2 linked regions of the Drosophila melanogaster genome follow. The protein of the gene in region 1 purifies or fractionates together with the protein of each later gene. This does not show direct contact. Each region holds a gene or a part of one and is shown in the gene's direction. Other genes may lie near its edges. The genes, in order: viaf and CCT7.

The links.
Region 2: the proteins of viaf (region 1) and CCT7 purify together in Drosophila melanogaster (affinity purification with mass spectrometry, with the first as the bait; one large-scale study listed by BioGRID). This does not show direct contact.

What each region holds. Positions count from the first base shown.
Region 1 is NT_037436.4:11,991,353-11,995,013, reverse strand, and holds viaf (viral IAP-associated factor), read left to right. Parts: upstream 1-1,834; 5' UTR 1,835-1,969; coding exon 1,970-1,975; intron 1,976-2,144; coding exon 2,145-2,861; 3' UTR 2,862-3,161; downstream 3,162-3,661. Other genes in the region: Grip163, read left to right, coding at 1-949, 1,012-1,261; CG6931 (uncharacterized protein), read right to left, coding at 3,169-3,531, 3,604-3,661. UniProt on the Drosophila melanogaster protein: Modulates the activation of caspases during apoptosis.
Region 2 is NT_033777.3:8,799,785-8,806,986, forward strand, and holds CCT7 (chaperonin containing TCP1 subunit 7), read left to right. Parts: upstream 1-1,779; 5' UTR 1,780-1,893; coding exon 1,894-1,896; intron 1,897-2,074; coding exon 2,075-2,335; intron 2,336-2,401; coding exon 2,402-3,221; intron 3,222-3,294; coding exon 3,295-3,618; intron 3,619-3,686; exon of another isoform or gene 3,687-3,780; coding exon of another isoform or gene 3,781-5,342; intron 5,343-5,407; coding exon of another isoform or gene 5,408-5,714; exon of another isoform or gene 5,715-5,917; intron 5,918-5,998; exon of another isoform or gene 5,999-6,008; coding exon 6,009-6,235; 3' UTR 6,236-6,450; downstream 6,451-7,202. Other genes in the region: CG9839 (uncharacterized protein), read right to left, coding at 3,781-5,342, 5,408-5,714; hng2 (hinge2), read left to right, coding at 6,582-6,795, 6,849-7,202.

The sequences.
Region 1 (3,661 bases):
TGCCAAAGCCCGTTCTTGCAATTGCTAAACCAACTAGCTTATTGCCGAAACTGGATTTTGGAATGAAAGATGAAAGGGAGACGGAACAGGACAGAGATAAAGTTAGCACTTTGCCCGAGGCTTGCAATCCGTTTATGGCCCGCCGCTGCCTGCAGCTCTCCGTAATGGCGCCCCTTAACGCATACTACGGACTGCTCCGAAATGAAGTGCTGAGAATATTCCAGGAGCAGCGTATCTACGAGCATTTCCGCAAGCTCAGAAACTACTTTTTCCTGGTGGACGGTCAATTTGGAGCTACACTCACGAACGAAATTCTAGGAAGAATAAGGGCGGGCGTTGGGCCACGAAGTCTCAGCCAGAAGGGCATCCTTGACACCATTTTAACCAATGCGCTGGCGGCTTGTTCGGCGGATGAAACGACGGTATCGGAGAACCTTACCCTCAATTGTACCACCATCCCGGATACGCTCAACTTCCTGTCCGTGGAAGCCACTTCTATGCTAAAGCTGAACTGCAAGATTGATTGGCCTTTAAACATGGTGATCAGCTCGGAGACGATTTCAAAATATGGCCAGATCTTCGGGTATCTGCTGAAGCTTCGTCACGTTAGTTTCGTGCTGGATGGAACCTACGAGTATCTGCAGCAAATGGGCAAGCTTCTGGGACCGGAACTTCGGACATGTACTCATTTCCGACACATGCAGATGATGCGCCACAAGATGTCGCACTTCATGACCTCGTTTCAAACGCATCTGGTGGCCAAGGCCCTGTTGTCCACCTGGAAGAGCTTCAAGGAGGAGTTGTGCACAGCCGATTCCATTGAGGCGTTGTACAAGCAGCATGTTGCCTACTTAAAGCGGGTAGCCTTCCTAGCACTGCTAAATCGACGCAGTGCGAAAGTAAAGGAAACCATTGATAATATCCTAGTGATTATACTACGCTTTTGCAAGTGAGTTTACGTCTTAAATAGTCTGCTGATTCATTTTATTCTTTAATTTAAATGTTTTTCAGAGTCATTCAGTCGCAGTCCTTTATTGTGGATCAAGATAATTACTTTGTGCACCCCCGCTTCAAACGTCTGCAGCAGGAAGAGGCTGAGTTCGAGAAATTCTTGCAGTATCTCATCTATTTGGGCAACAAGGCGGCCGCTTCTGGTTACCAGGAGGAAATCGGTGACCTGATTTGTATTATTAACTTTAACCACTATTACAAGGTATCTGGGAACCATACTGGTTCCTCAATGGAGGACAAAAAGTGCTAGCCAATAATTGTTAGATAGGGAATTTATCTTGCCATTAAGCTGAGCTTAGAACATTTTAAAAAATATTTATGCATGCATGGCGTCTCCTAAATGTAAAGCTTCGGTGAAGAAAATCAGCTTTAAAGGCATTTATTTCTTAGTACTATTTCTTTAGTTTCGGTTAACAGTTTTGTTGTGTTGTAAGTTAATATTAATTTTCAAATAACCGGCTCAAATTAAAAGAAAATAATTTAATTAGTAACATCTAATAGTGTTTTAATTGAACTCGTATTAAATGCCGAAAAAACTGTTTTGAATATTTATCCATATCATTAATAGATTTCTGTTTAATATTTAAGAAAAACTTTTAAAAGAGACAATTGTCTCTAAAGTAGAATGTACGTATTAAATATTGTAATGAAACCAATGTCGACATGATTTCTTGAAACTGTTGATTCGAATTTATAAATAAATGTGCTTATTTATGTATGTCTTACCATATTTAATATTTAATATTTAATATTTAATTCAAACGTATGTAAGGTATCGCTTCCCTATCATCTCTAAGTGACTGTGCGCGTACGATGTATCGGTATTCGCTCCATCCCTGGTCATGAGTCACTTCGTGTAGAATAATTCAGTTTTATTTTTAGTTTATAAAAGCGCTGCACGCGATCAAGAATTTTATATTTTTAAGTAATTTATTTCATCGAACTATAATCAAAAAACATGCAGGTAAGATGGACTGTTATAAGCAAATTATATTTATTATCCGAACAATAAGGTTTTTCCATTTCGATAAATGGTAATGGTGGGTGTGTTTTGGTGCATCCAAAAATAAACCCCATATTTGGTATTGAAAATCATGAATGAAATGAAACTCACGTGGCCTTGTTGTCCATAGGACCCAAACGAAGATACCGAGTGGAATGATGTGCTCCGAGCCAAGGGAATAATTGGGCCCAAGGCGAAGGAGGCGGAGATCACAGAGGATCAGATCCAGAAGCTGATGGACGATGCCATCCAGCGGCGCACAGATCTGCCACTGAATGAAGGCCAGCGCGACAAGAAGATCGACGACATGTCGCTGGACGAACTCGACGAACTGGAGGATTCCGAGGACGAGGCTGTTCTAGAGCAGTATCGCCAGCGACGCATCGCCGAGATGAGGGCCACCGCTGAAAAGGCGCGATTTGGATCAGTGCGCGAGATCTCAGGACAGGATTATGTCAACGAGGTAACCAAGGCCGGCGAGGGCATCTGGGTGGTACTCCACCTGTATGCCAACGGCGTACCGCTGTGCGCACTGATCCACCATCACATGCAGCAGCTGGCCGTCCGCTTTCCACAGACCAAGTTCGTGCGCTCCGTTGCCACCACCTGCATACCAAACTTCCCCGAGAAGAACCTGCCCACCATCTTTATCTACCACGAGGGTGCGCTGCGCAAGCAGTACATAGGCCCACTGGAGCTGCGCGGCGACAAGTTGACCGCTGAGGAGCTGGAGTTTATGCTGGGTCAGGCGGGAGCAGTGCCCACCGAGATCACGGAGGATCCACGGCCGCAGATCAGGGACAAGATGCTTGCCGATCTCGAAGACAAAAGCTCGGACTTCTACTGAGTCATAGCCAAAGCATAGCCCTCATCCAACTTTAAGTTCAGTGGGGTGGGTAAATATTTTTAGGATGAATCATCAAGTAAAGCCCAATCCAAAACCGGCAAGCGGATCTTTTTTTGCGGATTCACTTAACTAACAAATCAAACATTTAAACGCAGTTTGAAACGTAAACATCCGCCGTTGAGAGCGAACGTTATTGATTTATATATTAACCAGTCCTCAGGAATTTCCCTTGCACGTTTTCATTTCATTGTTTTTTGGCATTTATGTACCCTCATAAATAAATTGTTTACTTTTCTACAGAAAGTCACTATTTATGATTTTGTTTGGTGCTGGTAGCCGTTGCTTTTGCCACGCTTTTTGGTTTACCCCGAAAAATGTTCGGATCAATGATATTGTACGGATGCTCGCAAGCGGGATTCAGTACTCGTCCACGTCGTGGCTCGTGCTCCTCGAGAAGATGAGGTGCTAGCAAAAGAAACAGCTGCTCTGTCCAAGAGGGCAGGCCACAGGTGGAGAAGCACAGCTCCCAGTACGGCAGTCCCAAGTGCGCGATGGCCATCCGAAGGTATTCACTAAAGGTGTCCGCCAAAAACTGCCAGCTCAGGGTGCTCAGCTCTAGCAGATAGAACTTGGGATTGTTGGAACTGGTAGATTCGTACAGCATACACACCTATCAGAGGAGTATTTTGGAATTAATCATCAGCCTTCTCTTGCGTCTGAACTACTTCGATTAAGTACACACCTTGGCCACCTCGTTTACGTTGTTGATCTCAAATATTTTCGATTTGGCCGTTATAATA
Region 2 (7,202 bases), on another chromosome or scaffold:
AATTAAGTTACACAAGTTCGTCGGAATAGAAGTGAGTTATGTTCGGTTCGTTTGGGGAGTATCCTAATTAGTTGCAATCAATTTGAATTGTAAATTAAAAGAAGTGTTCTATACTAGGTAAATTTCGTTGCTCGGCGATAGCAGAGATCTTTCGTTTCGGCCGGACACCGATTGACTAACTCGGCCTCTCGAGCTTTCGCAAGCTCTTTCACATTTGCCTCCATTTCCATTTAATTAAAAGGAGCTTTGCCATTTATTCATGCACTTCTTGGGGTTATGGGGTGGCAAAGCTCGGGTCTGTGTGCGTGCCCCGAAGAATGGCCGACGTGAAGCCGGAAGAGCCCATCTATTGAAAGCCGAAGATGTTTTCCTCCCGGTTCCCGACTTCATAACAAAAAAAAACCAGTCGCGTGTTTATTAATAACCAAAATATGCACACAACCCGCCACGAAATTGGTCAAAATAACAAACAGTGAAATAAAAGATATCGGAACTTCAGGTTGATTGGATATTAATTCGGTATAAGTTTGATAAAGTAATGATAAAATTCAGTTAAATTGTTATATCTGTGTAAACATTGTTATAAGTACTTCCGCATGATTAAGGCGCGTTGCTCAAACATATATCAGCACAAAGCATTTGTGCTAGTTTAAGTTTAAGAGCAATCTGAAGACGTGACATTAAAGCTGTTGAAACGTGCATCTATTATTATATGTTTAGACCAGAAGTAAATAAATTTGGTAATAAACATACTTGCAAAACATTTAAGTTGCTCAACTTTTTTATAGTCTTTTTATGGCAATTAAAATTTCATACTTTTAATTTCGATTTAAATGCCAAACGTATTGCGTATGAATATCTTTATGTCTATAATCCCCAACAGCTGAAGAATCTTCACAAATCACATACAAATTTGACAATCGCCTTAACGACGCGATGAATGATGGACACAATTAGAACACATTCCGATTCCAGTCAGTCAACACAGGGGAAATCTAAATAAAAGCACAAAAGGGGAACAAACTTTGCACTTTGATTTGAGTGCCTTATCGTGTGGGAGCCCCACTTCACTTTTCTTTTTCTTACTCACTATTTGCATTTTTCATAGTCGGTTCAGCATCCTGATTTGTTTCATAATCACTCGGCAATTGTCTAGTATCCGGTTAGTATCCATTGGCATCCCTTGTGGTTCGATGTCGTCGTTAAGAGGAGTCTTGGGCAACTAAAATTCCAATTCCACATGACCGAATTAGATTTAGAATGCTTTCTTTCATTTAAACCTATTTGCGGTTGAATGTTCTGGCGTTTTGGCCTTTCAAATGACTCTTCTATTTTTCATTTAATTGCTGCTCGGTGCACAACTCACTCAAGTTGAGCGGTAGGAACAAACTGAAGATGCGGCGCACTTTCTAAAATGGAATAAGCGACATGCGTGCGTGCATCGCCAAATTTATATAAATAGAAGGAATCACAAATCTATATTTGAAGTTGGGAGCAATTTCAAAAAACCGCTCGCCGGTCAAGAGTGACGTCATGGAGCCATCGATAACTTTTTCGATAACAACTACCAGCTGCATATCATATTAGTTTAAAATGTTCATCAAAAAGTGTGGAAACTAGCTTTGTACCATAAAGTTAAAAAATCGCAAGATAGAAATAAATAGATAGTTTTTTATGAGTTAGGATTTCAAATTTCATTGTAAAGTGCGACTAAGTCCCCAAACGTTCACACTGGCTGCAAGCATCGATTAAATACAAAATAACAACGATTAATCGATTGGCCCATTACTCATCGCGGAAAACGTGAACGAAAAGCAAGTTGCCGCCTGTCTGCTAGGAACTTTATTGTTTTAAACTGTAATACGTGCTAAAGGCCAACCCCATCACATAAATATGGTAAGTCCGGCTGGAAATAATCCGAGGCTAACCAAGTGAATCCCAATCATGGACTCGTCCGCGAGCGGCATGAGATTGTAAACATAACCTGCAAAGAAGCTTCTCGCAAGCCGACGACATCTGCTGACTAATTGGAGACTTTTACTATATATTCGCCTTATATCCGTATGATCCGCAGCAACCGCAAATCGTGCTCCTCAAAGAAGGCACTGACTCGTCGCAGGGCAAGCCGCAACTGGTGTCCAACATCAATGCCTGCCAGTCGATCGTGGACGCAGTGCGGACCACTCTGGGTCCCCGCGGCATGGACAAGCTGATTGTGGATGCCCACGGCAAGGCGACGATTTCCAACGATGGAGCCACCATCATGAAGCTGCTGGAGATCATCCACCCGGCGGCCAAGACCCTGGTGGACATTGCCAAGTCACAAGACGCCGAGGTAAGTGATTGGCACCCCTGAGACGCACGTGACACTGCTAAAGCTTTGATTCGACTTCTCCTTCAGGTGGGTGACGGCACCACGTCCGTGGTTCTGCTGGCCGGCGAGTTCCTTAAGCAGGTGAAACCCTTCGTGGAGGAGGGAGTGCACCCACGAGTCATCATTAAGGCCATCCGCAAGGCCCTGCAGCTCTGCATGGAAAAGATCAACGAAATGGCCGTCCAAATTGTCGAACAGTCCAAGGACCAGCAGCGTGCTCTCCTTGAGAAGTGCGCAGCCACTGCCATGTCCTCCAAGTTGATTCACCAGCAGAAGGACTTCTTCTCCCGCATTGTAGTCGATGCTGTGCTCTCCCTGGATGAGCTGCTGCCCCTCAACATGATTGGAATTAAGAAGGTGACCGGTGGCTCGCTGGAGGAGTCACAGCTAGTGTCGGGTGTGGCCTTCAAGAAGACCTTTTCCTATGCCGGCTTTGAAATGGCCCCCAAATCCTATGACAACTGCAAAATTGCCCTGCTCAACATCGAATTGGAGCTTAAGGCTGAGCGCGATAACGCCGAGATCCGCGTAGACAACGTCAAGGAGTACCAAAAGGTGGTCGACGCCGAGTGGCAGATCCTCTACAACAAGCTGGCTAAGATCCACGAGTCCGGCGCCAATGTTGTCCTCTCCAAGCTGCCCATCGGTGATGTGGCCACACAGTATTTCGCCGACCGCGACATATTCTGCGCCGGCCGCGTTCCCGAAGAAGATCTTAAGCGCACCATGAAGGCTTGCGGTGGAGCCGTAATGACGACGGCCAACGACATTAAGCCCAATGTACTCGGCCTGTGCGAACATTTCGAGGAGCGCCAAGTGGGCGGCGAACGTTTCAACCTCTTCCAAGGTAAGAATCTTATTCGTATACTTAATTGAAGGACTCGTTTTAACAACCACTTGTTATTTTCCATTTTAAATAGGCTGCCCCAATGCCAAGACGAGCACCCTTATTCTGCGTGGCGGTGCCGAACAGTTTCTGGAGGAGACTGAGCGATCCCTCCACGACGCAATTATGATCGTGCGGCGCACCATCAAGCACGATTCCGTTGTGGCCGGCGGCGGTGCCATTGAAATGGAGTTGTCCAAGCTGCTGCGGGACTATTCGCGCACCATTGCCGGTAAGGAGCAGCTGCTGATTGCTGCCATCGCCAAGGGCCTGGAGATCATTCCTCGCCAGCTGTGCGACAACGCCGGTTTCGATGCCACCAACATTCTCAACAAGTTGCGCCAGAAGCACGCCCAGGGTGAGTGTCCAATGGTATTTGTCCATACAAAGCCACCTTAACGATGAGTGAATTTGAAATTTATATTTGAAAGGGGGAAGGATAAGTTTTTATTTTAAAGAACTTGTGTGTGAAACTTTAAACAAAAAACATTTGTTCCTCTTAACGAATGATAATCCATTTTTATTCACTTCGTCCAATTGTCTGTCTGATTACTTTTTTGAGCTGCTCATGCCAGAGAAGGAAGCAGGGTTCCTGGCATAGACCCGGCTTATCGGGACAGGTGTTGCACATGTACCTGCTGAACTGCAGCATTCCGCCTTTGTGGCAATAGCGGCAGTTTTTCTTGGCCGGCTTCCCGTTCTGCTGGATAAGCATGGGTTCGTGTAGAATGGTCTTCAACCTGGGCTCGGGCACCGGCTTGTTCTTTGACCGTTCATATGTCTCTGGCTTCTGGATACTAGTTACCGGTTCGTTCGTCACTTCTTCTCTTAGAAGCGACTTTATGATGATCACCCGGAACTCCGAGTAACTTTTAAGATGTCCGACTCGCGCATTCTGGCCATTAGCAAAGTATAGCAAATAGGCATTGTACACGAGGATGTTGAGTAGGAAAATGGTCAACTTTATGTTTGCCTTCAGCTCCTTGCAGGCAGCTTGGTAGTGGATCAGGTGGTGGCGACCGTCGTTTCCAGGTCGTAGTTGAAACTCGAGCTCCTGGATCAACTTAGGTTTTGCATTTGTCTTTTGCATGGCCATCTCCTTGGAATAAATGGCCAAGCAGTCAGAGCTGAAGCAGTACAAGCTCTTTGCCCGTCGTCGCCATTTGGCCATCATCAGAGAAGTGGCATAGCTGGTGGAGATGCTGTTGGAATCCAACCGCTGGTGCACCAGTGCCTTACTGTTGCCATATCTATTCCTGTCCAGCAGACCAGTGCAATAGGTGCTTTTCTTGGCCAACTCCTGAGCCAGGCCGTAGCTTCCATAGAACTTTGAGGTGTACACAGTGCGTCCTCCATGGTAACCCTCCATTAGTTTCAGGACAATCTTGTTTCGGTGCTCCACCAACTGCCGGGAATTGCGTACCCATGCCGGTGCGTCTTCCTTCCGCACAATCTCCGGTAGAATCTTCACCACCAAACCGCTCTGCTCAGTTAGCATATGCAGCAGTAGTGCGTTGGTGCGGAATTTGTTTGGAAGTTCATCCTGGTATCTTAATGCACCCTTCCACAGAGTGATAGGTTCATTGAGCACCAGTTGCTGGCCACAAATGTATATCTCTTCCATACGCTCGTTGATAAAGTCTAGCAGTAGAGAGTTCTTCACTTTGGCTCTGCCCGCTTGTAGCTGCGGTGCATCAAAGTTAAGGCAGTGCAGCAGCTGCTGATACCGTTCCAGAGGAATCTTCCCAGAGAATCCGACGAGACCGTAAAACATGTTAGTGCTCCAGTAATCCGATAGGTGCTCCAGCTTCAGGTCACACATAAGCAGGGAAAGCGCCATAAAGATTTCCATTTCTTCGGCAGTTGTGGGATTGGACTTGAGCTCTCCTCCCTTTAGGTTGCAGCTTTGGGCCAGGGAACTGAAGAACTTGGAGCGATTTCCCAGCACTTGGTTGAAGTAGTGCTGTGGTCCCTGGAAGCGTTGTCCGAATTTCAGGCCACTCTGCTGGATGGGAAATTTGAAGAGCAGTCGGGAACCCGTCTGCTGGCTGGACCAATCTGGATCGTAGTCATCCATATCGTCTGGGTTTAAAAAGGATAATTTTATAAGTGGGGTCTTGAAATGACGGGAGGAGCACCCTTCTTACCCTGACAGAAGACATCTTCAGCTTGGTAATCGAGCTCTGAGTAGCCATCCTCGTCGGAATCACTCTCTTGCTGTTCCAATTCCAAGCGAATGGTGTTGCTGGCCGCCTGCTGCTCCGCCACCAGCTGCAATTGGAGTTCAGTGAGATCCGGCTTGATATCGGCCGTACTTAAATCGTAGTCTGCTAGCGCCGGATAGCCGTCCAAGGGTTCCGACTTGATGTCCACACTGCGTCGCTTCACCGGCGACCGGTGATCGTCCTGACGCGGCTTAAGTTGCTGCTTGCGCTTTCTTCCGGAGCTGGACATTTCGTTTGGCTGCGTTTTCTCTTCCAAATAATGTAAATACAGAGGAAATTTTAGCCGCAGCAACGCGTGTTTTTCTTCGACCTCACTGTCACTCGTCCTCTCTCACTCGAGTCACATGTGCTGTATGTTGTGCTCTTTCGCACCTTCTCAATTCGTTTATTGCGCGGGCTGTAAGCGGCGTTGCCACCTGAACGAAATGTTACCTGCAAAAATCGTTGGCGAATTCAAATCGGTCGTGTAATTTTGAACTCTAATTAATAATTATTATAATTTTATACATTTACCTTTTTACAGGAGGACAGTGGTACGGCGTCGACATCAACAAGGAAGACATTTCGGACAACTATGAGCAGTGCGTCTGGGAGCCGTCCATCATTAAGATCAATGCACTGACGGCGGCCGCCGAGGCAGCCTGCATGATCCTTTCCGTCGATGAGACAATAAAGAGTCCCAAGGCCGGAGAACCCCCGATGGCCGGCGGTGGCATGGGAATGGGCCGCGGAATGGGCAGGCCCATGTAAATAGAATCATTCAGAAATCCAGAGAACACTACACCCTAATCATCAAAACTCACTTGCATTTCTCTCCTAATTTAACACGTACACGTATTACTCGGTCATACCTTCGCATTTCGCACGCTTCGAAGCAAGAACAACAGCAACAATAATCCACTGACCTATCTGTATATGTTTAATAATAAAACACAAAATTGAAATTTGTATTTTCATAACATCAGAACGTTTTTAGTTTAAATGCGGGGCGAGGTGGCAACTCTGCGGGGAGTGCTGTTAAGCAGCTGCCCGTGGTGCTGTTAAACGCAAGCAACATATTGTCAATCCAATCCAACCCTTAAATAAACAATAAATAATGGGCAATCATAAAGTTCTTCGATCGGCAGGAAGCAATTTGCGCTATTCGATGTACGAGTTCATTGACGCGGTACACAAACGTTCTATTATATGGGAACGAAGCCACCCAAACTTCCATAACCGCGAACTCAGAGATGAGGCCTGGCAGCAAATTGGCCACGAGCTTTGCTCGAATTTTGACGACTCCAGCGAGCCGGAGAAGCAGGAAATAGGTAGGTGGTGGCTACCTTTTTGAGTCTATATCATACATAACTTCCAATTCCAGTTAAAACACTGCTCAAACGTTGGAAAAACACGAGGGACAGCTACCTACGGGTCAACCGACTACGTCAAAGTGGCGAGGAGGTGGCCAGAGCTTCCTACATCTACGAAAAGGAACTGAGTTTCCTGCTGAACGTGAAAGCAGAGTCGGAGGACGATGTAGAATCCTTGAAGGAGCAACCCAAGCCCCAGGCCAAACGGAAGCGAGTGAGCACTGCCGCACAGAGATCTGCAAAGACTCCACGAAAGAGAAACTCCGACCAAGAATCGAATATTGAGCCTGCCATCCGCAATCCAGCCATACCAAGCAACATAAATACGGTTCTGGGAGATCTGGGCTGCGCCAAGGAGGACACCG